3 linked regions of the Coturnix japonica genome follow. The protein of the gene in region 2 purifies or fractionates together with the protein of the main gene of each other region. This does not show direct contact. Links are inferred from orthologs where the notes say so. Each region holds a gene or a part of one and is shown on either strand. Other genes may lie near its edges. The genes, in order: SMC5, SLF2 and RAD18.

Evidence for each region.
Region 1: the proteins of SLF2 (region 2) and SMC5 purify together in Homo sapiens (affinity purification with mass spectrometry; 3 studies listed by BioGRID and IntAct, with this or other methods). This does not show direct contact. The link is inferred for Coturnix japonica from reciprocal best matches to the Homo sapiens genes SLF2 and SMC5.
Region 3: the proteins of SLF2 (region 2) and RAD18 purify together in Homo sapiens (affinity purification with mass spectrometry; 3 studies listed by BioGRID and IntAct, with this or other methods). This does not show direct contact. The link is inferred for Coturnix japonica from reciprocal best matches to the Homo sapiens genes SLF2 and RAD18.

What each region holds. Positions count from the first base shown.
Region 1 is NC_029547.1:31,403,676-31,406,380, reverse strand, and holds the end of SMC5 (structural maintenance of chromosomes protein 5), read right to left. Parts: intron 1,172-2,705; coding exon 1,031-1,171; 3' UTR 603-1,030; downstream 1-602. UniProt on the Homo sapiens protein: Core component of the SMC5-SMC6 complex, a complex involved in repair of DNA double-strand breaks by homologous recombination.
Region 2 is NC_029521.1:20,245,225-20,249,304, reverse strand, and holds the start of SLF2 (SMC5-SMC6 complex localization factor protein 2), read left to right. Parts: upstream 1-1,198; 5' UTR 1,199-1,333; coding exon 1,334-1,440; intron 1,441-2,923; coding exon 2,924-2,967; intron 2,968-3,451; coding exon 3,452-4,080. UniProt on the Homo sapiens protein: Plays a role in the DNA damage response (DDR) pathway by regulating postreplication repair of UV-damaged DNA and genomic stability maintenance.
Region 3 is NC_029527.1:16,639,588-16,643,239, forward strand, and holds part of RAD18 (E3 ubiquitin-protein ligase RAD18), read right to left. Parts: intron 3,609-3,652; coding exon 3,532-3,608; intron 2,832-3,531; coding exon 2,771-2,831; intron 1-2,770. UniProt on the Homo sapiens protein: E3 ubiquitin-protein ligase involved in postreplication repair of UV-damaged DNA. Postreplication repair functions in gap-filling of a daughter strand on replication of damaged DNA.

The sequences.
Region 1 (2,705 bases), on a different chromosome or scaffold from region 2:
TCGTTTCTGTGTACATTTTAGATATCAATCGTAGTTTTCATCCATTTACAAAATACATAGCAGTTAACTAATGAACTAGAAATGTATTTTAGGTATTCAGTGTGCTACTGGTAGTGTCTACTTAACTATTTAACAGCTGTATTCAATGTTCTATCGATAACATTTACTTTCAAAGACTTAACACCTACAGCCAAAACTCTACTGATTAATTCTGTAGTTAAAGATAAAAAGCTACGGTATGTACCATCACTCCAGCACAGCTAAAGACTGCTCCTGGTCATATCTAGTTTTACTTTAAAAAAGTCACACATCACTGAGTTTCATCTCTGCAAACTCTGGCTTCAACTGTTTCAAAAACACCTGGCTCTGTCACATCTTCTTGCTGTAGCAAAACAAAGACCTTATCCTTCCAGGAAGACAAAATGCAACAATGGCTAAAAAAAGTTTTAAAAGTAAAAAAAAAAAGGTAAAAAAAAGTTTAAAAAAGTAAAAAAAGTAAAAGTAACAAAGTGTATTACCAGCCTATTCATTAACATAGATCTATTTTCACAAAACAAAAACCAGTGCACAGCTACTTACAGACCATTACCTTCTCACACATCTTCTGTTTCATTCATTTATTCATTCAAAAACTTTCCATTTCATTCAGAAAACTTGGGAAAACATCCTTAATGGTGTTAGGGGAAAACAGTTTAATAAGAGTAAACTCCAAACTTATAAAAAAAACAAACTTCAGTTTACCGCAATACAACCTAGAACAATTAAACATATTTTTGATATTACTGAAAGTAACAAAATAAAGAAACTTCCTTTTTATTTAAAATATTATCTAAACAAGACACTATGAACTTTACAAAGTTTTAAGAACCAAAGCTCTTAATCATTGACCCTCAGCAGTTTCTCATCTCTTACAATTTCTGAAGATCTGAATGACTGATGCTATAAAATATTCTTCAAAAACACCAAATATTTTATATGTGTGCATATATGCATATATATATATATATATATATATATATAAACACATGTATCACTGTTCATCCACCCTCCCAAGTCGCCGCCGCCGCCTACAGAAAGACTTTAAGTTCCATTTGTTTGCCTCCAGCATATAAGGTCCATTGTAGACAAACAGCAATGTCATCTTTTCATTGTAAGTAAGATTCTGCAAGAGCTGCGGAAAAACACAAAACTCAAAGTCAAAACAGCTAGAAAAGATTACGTTCCTGAACTTAAATTATTAAATTAGATTATCTAAAAGTGGTGAAGAAGGTTAATGTCAAGTTTATACCTTAAAAGGTCAACACTACAGGATTAATTTCCTAATTTTTCTGACAGATGGTGTATAGATTTTTCCCTGAAACCCCTGAAGAGATGTATAACTCAGGTGATTAACATGTTTCACTTATTTCTTACAGATAGAAACATTTTCGCATAGTACCTTCTTGCTGCAAGTGAAGTCTTCACTTACTTGCCCTAGCCAGAATTACCTAATTTCAGATTACTTTGACCTCTAATCTTGCTCTGTAGGAAAGAAAAATTGATTCCCAATATGATGGTTGTTTGTACCATAGTTCGATATTACAACTGATTTTCAAACCCAGGACTCAGTCATGAGGAACACACTCACTTTTATAATGATTACAATTATCCAGCATACAGCTTCCCCTATCTTTATTCACATTAAGTGGTATCTCAGTACAATTCCTCCTAGTAGACCACTACAACTTCAACATATGGTTATCATCTTCTTATGGCTGATTTTACTGAAAACAAATCAGATTATTAAAAAATAAAAAAAAAAATCAAACAAGCAAACAAAAAAAAAAAAAAACCCAAAACACAAACACAACCAAAAATAAAAACAGAACTAAACAAAAAATATAATACAGATATAATACAGTCAAACGAAATCCTCAGTATTTTCTCTTCATAATAGCATGATGCTGCTAAACCGTGGTCCTACATACTCTTTGGTCTTCCTCTTACCATAAATGTTAGACCTTTTTTAAACTCTGAAGTTTCTTCTTGCTTCTCATCTTTGCTCTGATTTTTGGCTAACTCTACAAGTTCAGTTTTTTCCCCTTACCTATTCTTTGTAATCTGACAATAAGCTCAACTTTTAAAACAGACTCCAAATCCCCAGTCATCTCCTATAGCCCCCCACACATGAGAAGCACCTCTATTGGTAGAGCTATACATTCAACATCCATTCAAATAACTGTTGTTCCTTAAAATAAGAAAGAGTAAAGTAGAACAAATGGTAAGGACAGAAATCACAGAAACGCAAAATGAGACAGATATACAGAACAAGACAGACAAAAATAACACAACAAAGAAATGACCAACTGTGTGGAGATAAGTGAATTGCAGTTATCAGAAGGAATAACAAGCATCACTTCCCCTCTATTTTTATTTATTTTAGGAAAGTGCTATAGCTGGCTTTGCCTAGTTCTTTCAATTGTTCTTTAAAGGAAAGAATAGCACATAATATACCAGATTTTCTAAAATGCAGTAAAGGTGGGGATGTAGGAAAACTGACATCTGAATAGGAAGTATAAGGCCCATTCTTGCCTCCCTGGCACACAAATAATTTTAGTGCTTCTAGCTGCCTTGTGTTAGTTGAATCAGCCTCTGTTCAAAGCACAGCTGAACTGCCATCCTGTGTGATAGCCTTTTCAAGCTATGTCATACAAACTCAGAAAGTT
Region 2 (4,080 bases):
GGGTGCTGGCAGGGGCTGCAGCACTGAGCCAACGCTCCCTGTCCTCCTACAGCAACAGGCAAATACATCAATACGGGAAAAGATTACACGGGTGGGAGGCAGCACCGGTGCTCCTTGCTGGCTGGGCTGTGAGTGCCTGTGTGCTCTGCTGACATCTGCCAAGTGTTTGTGCCTTTGGGGGCCGTGTGTGTTTCAGGGCCGGAAGCACCCGGAAGGCTGCAGGGCTGAGATTACCGAGCTGCTGGCGGCTGCTTTGCACCTGAGTGTGTGAGATGGATCCGAGGGATTTAGCACACAGATCCCTAACACAGCCAGCATCTCCAATTCAAGGAGCACAGCAAGAGCTCTGCTCATATTGCAGCCCCCCCCTCAGCTCCCCTCCACCCGGGGAGCCGCTTCTGTCCCGTGTCACTTTTTTTCACATCCTTTTGGCCACACAGATAGAAACTGGGTGACATTTCACGAGCCTACAGGAGTGGGAAGAAATGGAAATGACCAGCAGGGACACACAGGATGGAGGAAACCAGCAGCCTCCTCGTTCTTGCTGTGCTGGAAGCGTGGTCAGAGGGAAGGGAGTTTCTTGGGTTGTTTTTCCCCTCCAGGTTCCTGTTTTCCCCCCAGCCGTGCTGGGAAGGGCTGGGAGTCCCAGCCGGGTATTTCCCCGATAGACAAAGCCGTGTTCCTGCTTGGAAGGGCCCTACAACAGGTTCAGACCTGGGAACCACCCAGTGCCACAGCCCACGAGCTCAGCTCTCAGCTCCCGCACCCTGCTCTAATGGCAACAACCCCCTGAGCCAGGGGCCGGAGTCTGAAGGACCTTCATCCCAGCAGCCTCACATTGGGATTCTGGGCACTGACCCCACAGCCGGGTTAGAGGCAGGGGATATTGCTCCGGGGATCCGCTGCACGACACGGACACGCCCCACGCGCGTTCCCGCCCCGCCGCGCGTTCCCGGCGCGCGCTCCCGCCGCGGATTTTGCCCGCCCCCTCCGTGCACGGACCAATCAGATCGCGGGGCCGCGGGGCGGAGCCGTGCCCGTCTCTCCCCTTCTCCTTTAGGCGCGGAAGGCCGGTCCCGCCCCCCGCGCTCGTCGCAGCCAATCGTAGCCAGGCATTGTCTCCCCGTCCCTCCCGCCAAGGTGAAGAACCAATGCGAGGCGCGAGTCCTTCATGCGCTGAGCCAATCAGCGAGCGCTCCCAGTACTGCGGCCGCCTCCCGCCCTCGGCTCACAGGGCTGGGGGTGTCGGGCGGTGCCGCGCAATGGCGGCGGTGCGGCGCGGTGCTCGCAGCCCTCAGCCCCTCCACACAGCACCGGCCGGGCTACAGGCGCCATGACCCGTCCGCTCGGAGCGGGATCGCCATCCCCGAGCCCGCCCGCTACCCGCTCCGAGCGCCATTTTGGGCTGGCAGCGGGCAGGGCCACGGCCCGGGACTGCAGGTACGGCCTGAGGGGGGCAGAGCTCAGTGTGTGTGTGGGGCGGGCGGCGGGACCGGGACTGTGCATGGCCGGGAGCTGGGAGCAACGATGGGAGCCGGAGTGAGGCCTGGGAACGGGAACGGGATGGTGGGGCGGGACCGGAGCTGCGGGTAGGGATGGGACGGATCTAACACGGAGATCAGTGTGAGGGGCCGGGCGCCGTCAGAGCGGGGAGGAGATGGCGGCGGGGCTGCAGGGGAACGGGCAGCAACGTGTGCGGTGTGATGAGCGGCACTGAGCTGACAGCACGGGTAGGATCGGGGCAGGAGGAGATCATGGGGGTGCCCCGACACTGGAGGTGCTGGGGCTGGGTCGGAGGGGTGCTGGGCTGGTGGAACAGCCTGTATTGGGGTGGAACTGGGCGACCTTAAAGGACCTTTCCAACCCAATGCGTTCTGTGATCACCGTGTGGCCCTTCCAGCTTGGGATTACACGTGGTTCTGTGGTTCTTCTCTGCCGTGTGTGTGACTGCTGGCTCAGGTTGGTCAGGAAGGCGATGGAGTCTTTCTGTTCAGAGAACTTAATAACTCCATCCCAGGTGAGCCACAGCCGTCCCTTCCACCTCATCTGCCCTGTGCCGGGCAGGCAGCCTGGCAGTGACAGAAGGGGCTGATGCTGGCTGCTGTTTTCAGCTCGTCGTTCAAAATCCATGAGTGTCATACCTGCCTGTGTGCCTGATGTGCCTCTCACTGCTTGCTGGCAAGCCTCTCTGTAGGCTTCAGCAGTTGGACTGTAAAGTGGAACCTTCAGTTGCTGTTGGTGGTGCCCTCCAGTCTGTGCCTGCTGTAAAATGCACATAGAAGTTCTGTTAATAGCACAGACCTGATGAACCTCCCCATGTACTGAAAATCCAAACTGCTGAAGGCTTATAGGGTTTCTTAGAGGCTGCCAGATCGAGGAGCTTTTGCTTCTAGCTGTATGAGGCAAGTGGCAACTGTCCTACACTGTGAGCGGTGCCTTGTTTTGTTTGTTGACATGGATCTTCTGTTTTGATAACCCTGAAGGGTGGAGCTACAAGTTCTGTTCCTGTTCTGTTGCTGCCTGACAGTGAAAGTGAAAGTACATGGTTCGGTTTGGCTGCTTGGGGATATTTAGAAACAAACTTTGATCTAAGAAGAAAACATTGTGTGATAATCCTCTGAAAGAACACTGTGAGGTTCTGTGTATGACTCTGTGTATTCGTTGTCCTTTTTTTGCCATCAGGATGGTGCTTTTCAAGGCTTTTCGAGGTCAACTCATGTATTTTATGTGAAGTTTGGTACGTTTCTGTTCCCGAGGCTGAGTCACGTCACACTGCAGGTTGAAATAAGAGCTGCTGGCATTAGCAGCAAAACGAAAAGCCACAGAACCCCTGTAGAAATAAACTTCAGCGTTTTGCTTTATTCACTGTGTGGACGTTTAGACACTGTTCTCTCAGATGATAATACTTCTCTTTTCTCTTCAGAAACCAGGCTATTACAGAGTTCTTCAAACCGGTTTTAAAGCAAGGTAAATATAAATATCTTCCACTAACAAAATGCAAATAAGAACCAAAGTTTGACTTATGGAGGTCTACATAAGAGTGGGCTCTTCCCAAACAGGAGCAGTGGCACAATGACTTCATATTGCCAAATACGTCTAAATGAGCACATTTATACTTTTCTTTCTTAAAAACATAACTGAAGAATTAACTTCCTGTTACAGTGAATGTCTGTAAGTAGCAATGTAGTGGGTAGAGCTGTTTTATCACGCTCAAGGTAGGTGGTTATAGCAACAACAGCCACGTCAAATATCATGCAGTTGTGATTTGATATAGGAGGTAGATTGTGTATTACTAACAAACACTAAGTGATCGGGTAAATTCACTTTGGGCTGTGTGGGAGAGGGGTGAAATACCAAGCAATGAGATACAAAAAGACTCTTCCAAGACTCTTTCCCCTTCCCTCCCCAGTATTGTGGTTGTGAATGATGAATCTTCCCTTTGCTCTTTCAGAGCTCGGCCATAAAGACAGAAGCGTGTTGTGTTCCTCGGACACAGGAAACGTGAAGGATGCAGGGATTGGACTGTCTGTTCTACGCACCGAATGCTTTGAGAAGCAAATGACTCCTGCAAAGAGGGTTAGAAGGAAAAAGATGCCGGACCCGACACCAAAAACAAGTCCTATATTAGATGCCTTCCGGAGAGGAATTGAGAAAAAAGGCAGTGTAAACCTATTAGACAACAATGCGGTGTGCAAGGCACTGGGTTCAGCATGGCCAAGGGTTGTGATTCGGAAACTCTTTGTAACTGCGGCATCTCCCAGGAATATCTTGGCTGAAAAAGATAAAGGTGTCAAGCCTGAGCAGGGAAGAAGTGAGAAGTATCTGGATGTAACAAGAACGCTGCTGTCTTGTGAGAACAGTTGGGAGCAGAAAACTGATTGTATGGATGTAGAAGAGACCAGTTCAGACTCGGACAGATGGGTTTTATCAGAAGCTGATTCTCAGAAAGCCTGTGCTAGAAATAAAGGCAACGCAAGCAGCACGTCTCTGTGTCAGAACTCAGGGCTTCTCTTGAAGCTGCCCTGCACTCCTCCTGACTCCAAGTTTAGGTTAGCACTGGGAACTGTGCACAGAGGAGGA
Region 3 (3,652 bases), on a different chromosome or scaffold from region 2:
GTAAATGAAAATTAACCCACACTGCAGTGTTCCACATCCTGTTAACAACCCAAATCCATGCTTGTGCCCTCAGCAGCCAGAATATTTGCATAAACAAAATCTCAGATTTTTGCACCATAAAACTGTGTTTGTTTCCTCTTCACGTCACCACATTCCTGTTTGTTTGTTTCTCTAAACCCATTAATATTGGGATTGCCGTTGTAACAGCCTGTAACATGATGAAGATTTCAAGCTCCTTTTGGACATTGTAGCTCTGCATTTGTTAGTAATCTCTCCCCTGAATTAGACTGAGAGGCTGTACTGCTCAGTGGAATAATTAGCCTTTAAGGGTGAGTTGTCACTCAAAAAATCTAAAAGCACGAACACCTCACAAAACCCCATCGGCTCTGAGTGCTCAGAGCATTCAGCACAGCATTTTGCCAAGGGAAAACAAAGCCTCAGTGCCTGACACACTTCAGCAGAAAGTGCCAGTAACCAGCTACAGAAACAGGGCATCCCTTATTCTGTGCTGGTTTACCTTCCAGCTGTAATTCCCAGTTATTTGCTTTTTGAGACCACTCAGTATGAGACTGACCTTACTGATAACAAGCCCAATGGAAGCCATGTGTTTCCAAGGTGTCCTTTCTCAAACAACCTAACAGAAGCTAATTGAGGCTATCAGCCCCATCCTGATAACCTGGTTAGCATGCCTCTTGCTTTATCACCTTACAGCAGAGGGTAGCATCCTAACTAGAGAGAAAGAGCAAACCCTCTGGCCTACACTGTTACCTGCTTTAATGCAGCTCTAAATTTTCCCATCTCTGCAGTAAAGCATTTACAGTGTAACAAGGTAGTAAGCACAACAGTGACAGCAGAGCAGCAAGATTCCAGGCCACAGCAAGTGAGGATTTGCTCAAATGTGAAAGAAGTGGGCACAGAAATAAAGAAGCTGCTTACCTTTGGAAGGCCTCAGGTACACAAGGTATCTCTAGAGTGATACCCTCACCTCCACTGCCAACCCTTAAATGAGGTCCGGCAAGGGGTGGATCCTGGCTCCTACACTGCATGCACCTAAGCTCCCCTGGGCTGGCCCTGCTTTCCTACCAGGTGCTCCATCACTGCTTCAAGTAGGGATTAGCATTGCCACTACAACTGTGCTTATGGACCAGGAAGAACCCCAGCATACAGAACAAGCACAAAACCAATAGGCATCCTCAGCCTGCGGCAAGCTGAGGGCTGGGGGAGCTCAGCTCCCACCTCAGGCCTCTCCCCACCACCTCCTGTCAGGTTCTGCCCTCTGCGAGGAAACACATCTGAAATGCTTTTCCCATGTATTGTTTAGAGCTTATTTCTTCCTGGCATTGTTGAAAGCTCAACATAACGTCAACAACTCCTTTTAGCAAAAAAAATGTTCCCGCCCAAGATGCTTGTATGTAAAGCATGGTGCATTTATTACATAATCCCTTTGGTGCTTCAGTTTTTCCAGCATTACTATTTTTTGTTGTTTTGTTTCATGCTGCATTTACGAAGGTCTTCACATCACATCAAGCGTCCTGCCAATACAGGGCACTGCTCAGATGCAATGTAAGGCACAGCTGTGCTGGAGATACATACCATGTGCAGCTCGTAAAACTATGGGTATTTCAGTAATAAAAACAACTGCAGACATAATTACAAATACTTCAAACACCAGGCATAAATCACCGAGTGTCTGAATCCAGTGTAAATTAAAAGACTTAGAAAGAGCAGCGGATTACATTTCTTTTTTAAATTATTATTTTTTAAGCTTGAAATAGAAGCCTGCCCTTAAGGAAAACGGGAGGCTGACCTTGGCAGGGGGGGTGGGGTGGGGAGCAGAAGCATCCCAGTGCTATTGCTGAGCTCCAAGGGAGCAGAAGGAAGCTCCTGACCAGGACAACAGTGCTGGCTGTACCTAGCAGAACAGCAGTGAGTGGAGCACGGATGGCAGCTGCTCCAGGGCTACCAGGCACTGAGCTCTGAGTTTATCCTTTAGAACTGTTTAAGCTTTGTTGGGGGAAAATACCCCACTCAGGGATTAATAAGTTCATGGGGAGTTTTTTTGTTTTTTGTTAGGGGGGTTGTTTGTTTCTGTAACGGGTTAGATTGGCGTTTTTAATTTTGCTTTGTATTATATTGCTAGACGTTTCTGCAAGGCAAGAAAGCAATTATGAGCCAGTTACATGAAATTAGAAGAGAATGATTCAAAACCACAAACAGTGTGTGTACAGCTGAAAAAAAAAATATTCTCAGGAATAGAAGCAAAAAGCAAGGGGAAAAAATTGCTAAAGATTCAGGCCCTTATTTAGCCTTTACAGAAACCTAGCTAAACTCAACAAAGCTAAATCTAGCTGCACTATGACATAATTTATATGCTTGAAGCAACAGAAGAACTCAAGGAAACAAGGGGAATGTGACCATATTGCAGATTTAAATACACCCATAAGTATCACCAGAACAAGTTGTCCCGACAGTGCTTTGCTCCTCCATGGTGAAAGCTGGGAAGCTCTGCGTGCACTGCATGCATGCACTGTGTATGCATGCATACACCTGTCCCATGGTAACCACTGCTTCCAAGAGTGCAAGCACTGTACAGGTGAAGTCCTGCATAAAACTCTCACAAGAACCTCTGCTTCTAAACTAAGCCTAAAGAAAGCTAAGCTGCTTACGTGGCTCCAAGGACAGACAAAGGGGTTTTGTTGGTGGTGGCTTGGTTGGTTTTTTAAAAGATCAATTAATGAGGAAAATGGATTGAAACTTGGATTTTACTCACGATAACCGGTGTGGATCTCATCTATTTCCTGCTCTGTCTGGTCCTTTGTAAAGGTCAGGCTCTACAGAAATCACACAAATGTTTATTTACTAGGAGGAAAAGTTGATAAAGCCATGTACTTTAAAACTAAAAACTAACTAGGGAAGGCTCAGTCATTCAGTGTTCTCACACCAGCTCTTAGTCTCTCATCCACAGACGTAACACATGTTTAAAGTACATACTGTCTTGCATTGCTTTCACAAAGACAAAGGACTAAGCCAAAATACCCTGGGTAACACCCAGCATGTGTGGGCCATGAAGTTCTCCCTAACCCTGGACAATAAACGTGCACCAAAAGTCACAAAAGTATCATATGTCATGGGAAAAGAACAGGCACTATTGCTAATAGGGAAGCAAGGAATGTGCTAGATAAATCCTAGAGAATTCTAGGAAGCAAAATATTCCCCACGCTACCATGGAGGGTCAAAGTCTTCCAGTACGACCAAGGGGAACATTACTTCAGAATTTTTATTGCAATCAGAAAAAAAATTCTCCTACTTAAATGGTTTGGACATATAGACGACAGCACTACGCTAAGAACTGCCCATGACAAATGGCTGATATGAGAAAATCAAGCAGGTTACAAGATGGTATATGCCAAGTATTCCAAGTCTGGAATTCTGGCAATCACCATAATAAAGCAGCAGGCAGACACACTGAGCGTCCACACTGCAATGTCTCCTGTGCGTCCCCCAGTTTAGGAACAAGGACCATCAGCTTACATTTTCACCACTTTTACTCAGTTCAAGCTGAAGCCGAATCTTCTCATTCTTTTCCAGCTCTTTAACAATCTCTGCGACTGTTTGAAAACACATGAAACGGATCGTTAAACAGGAGTTGTTA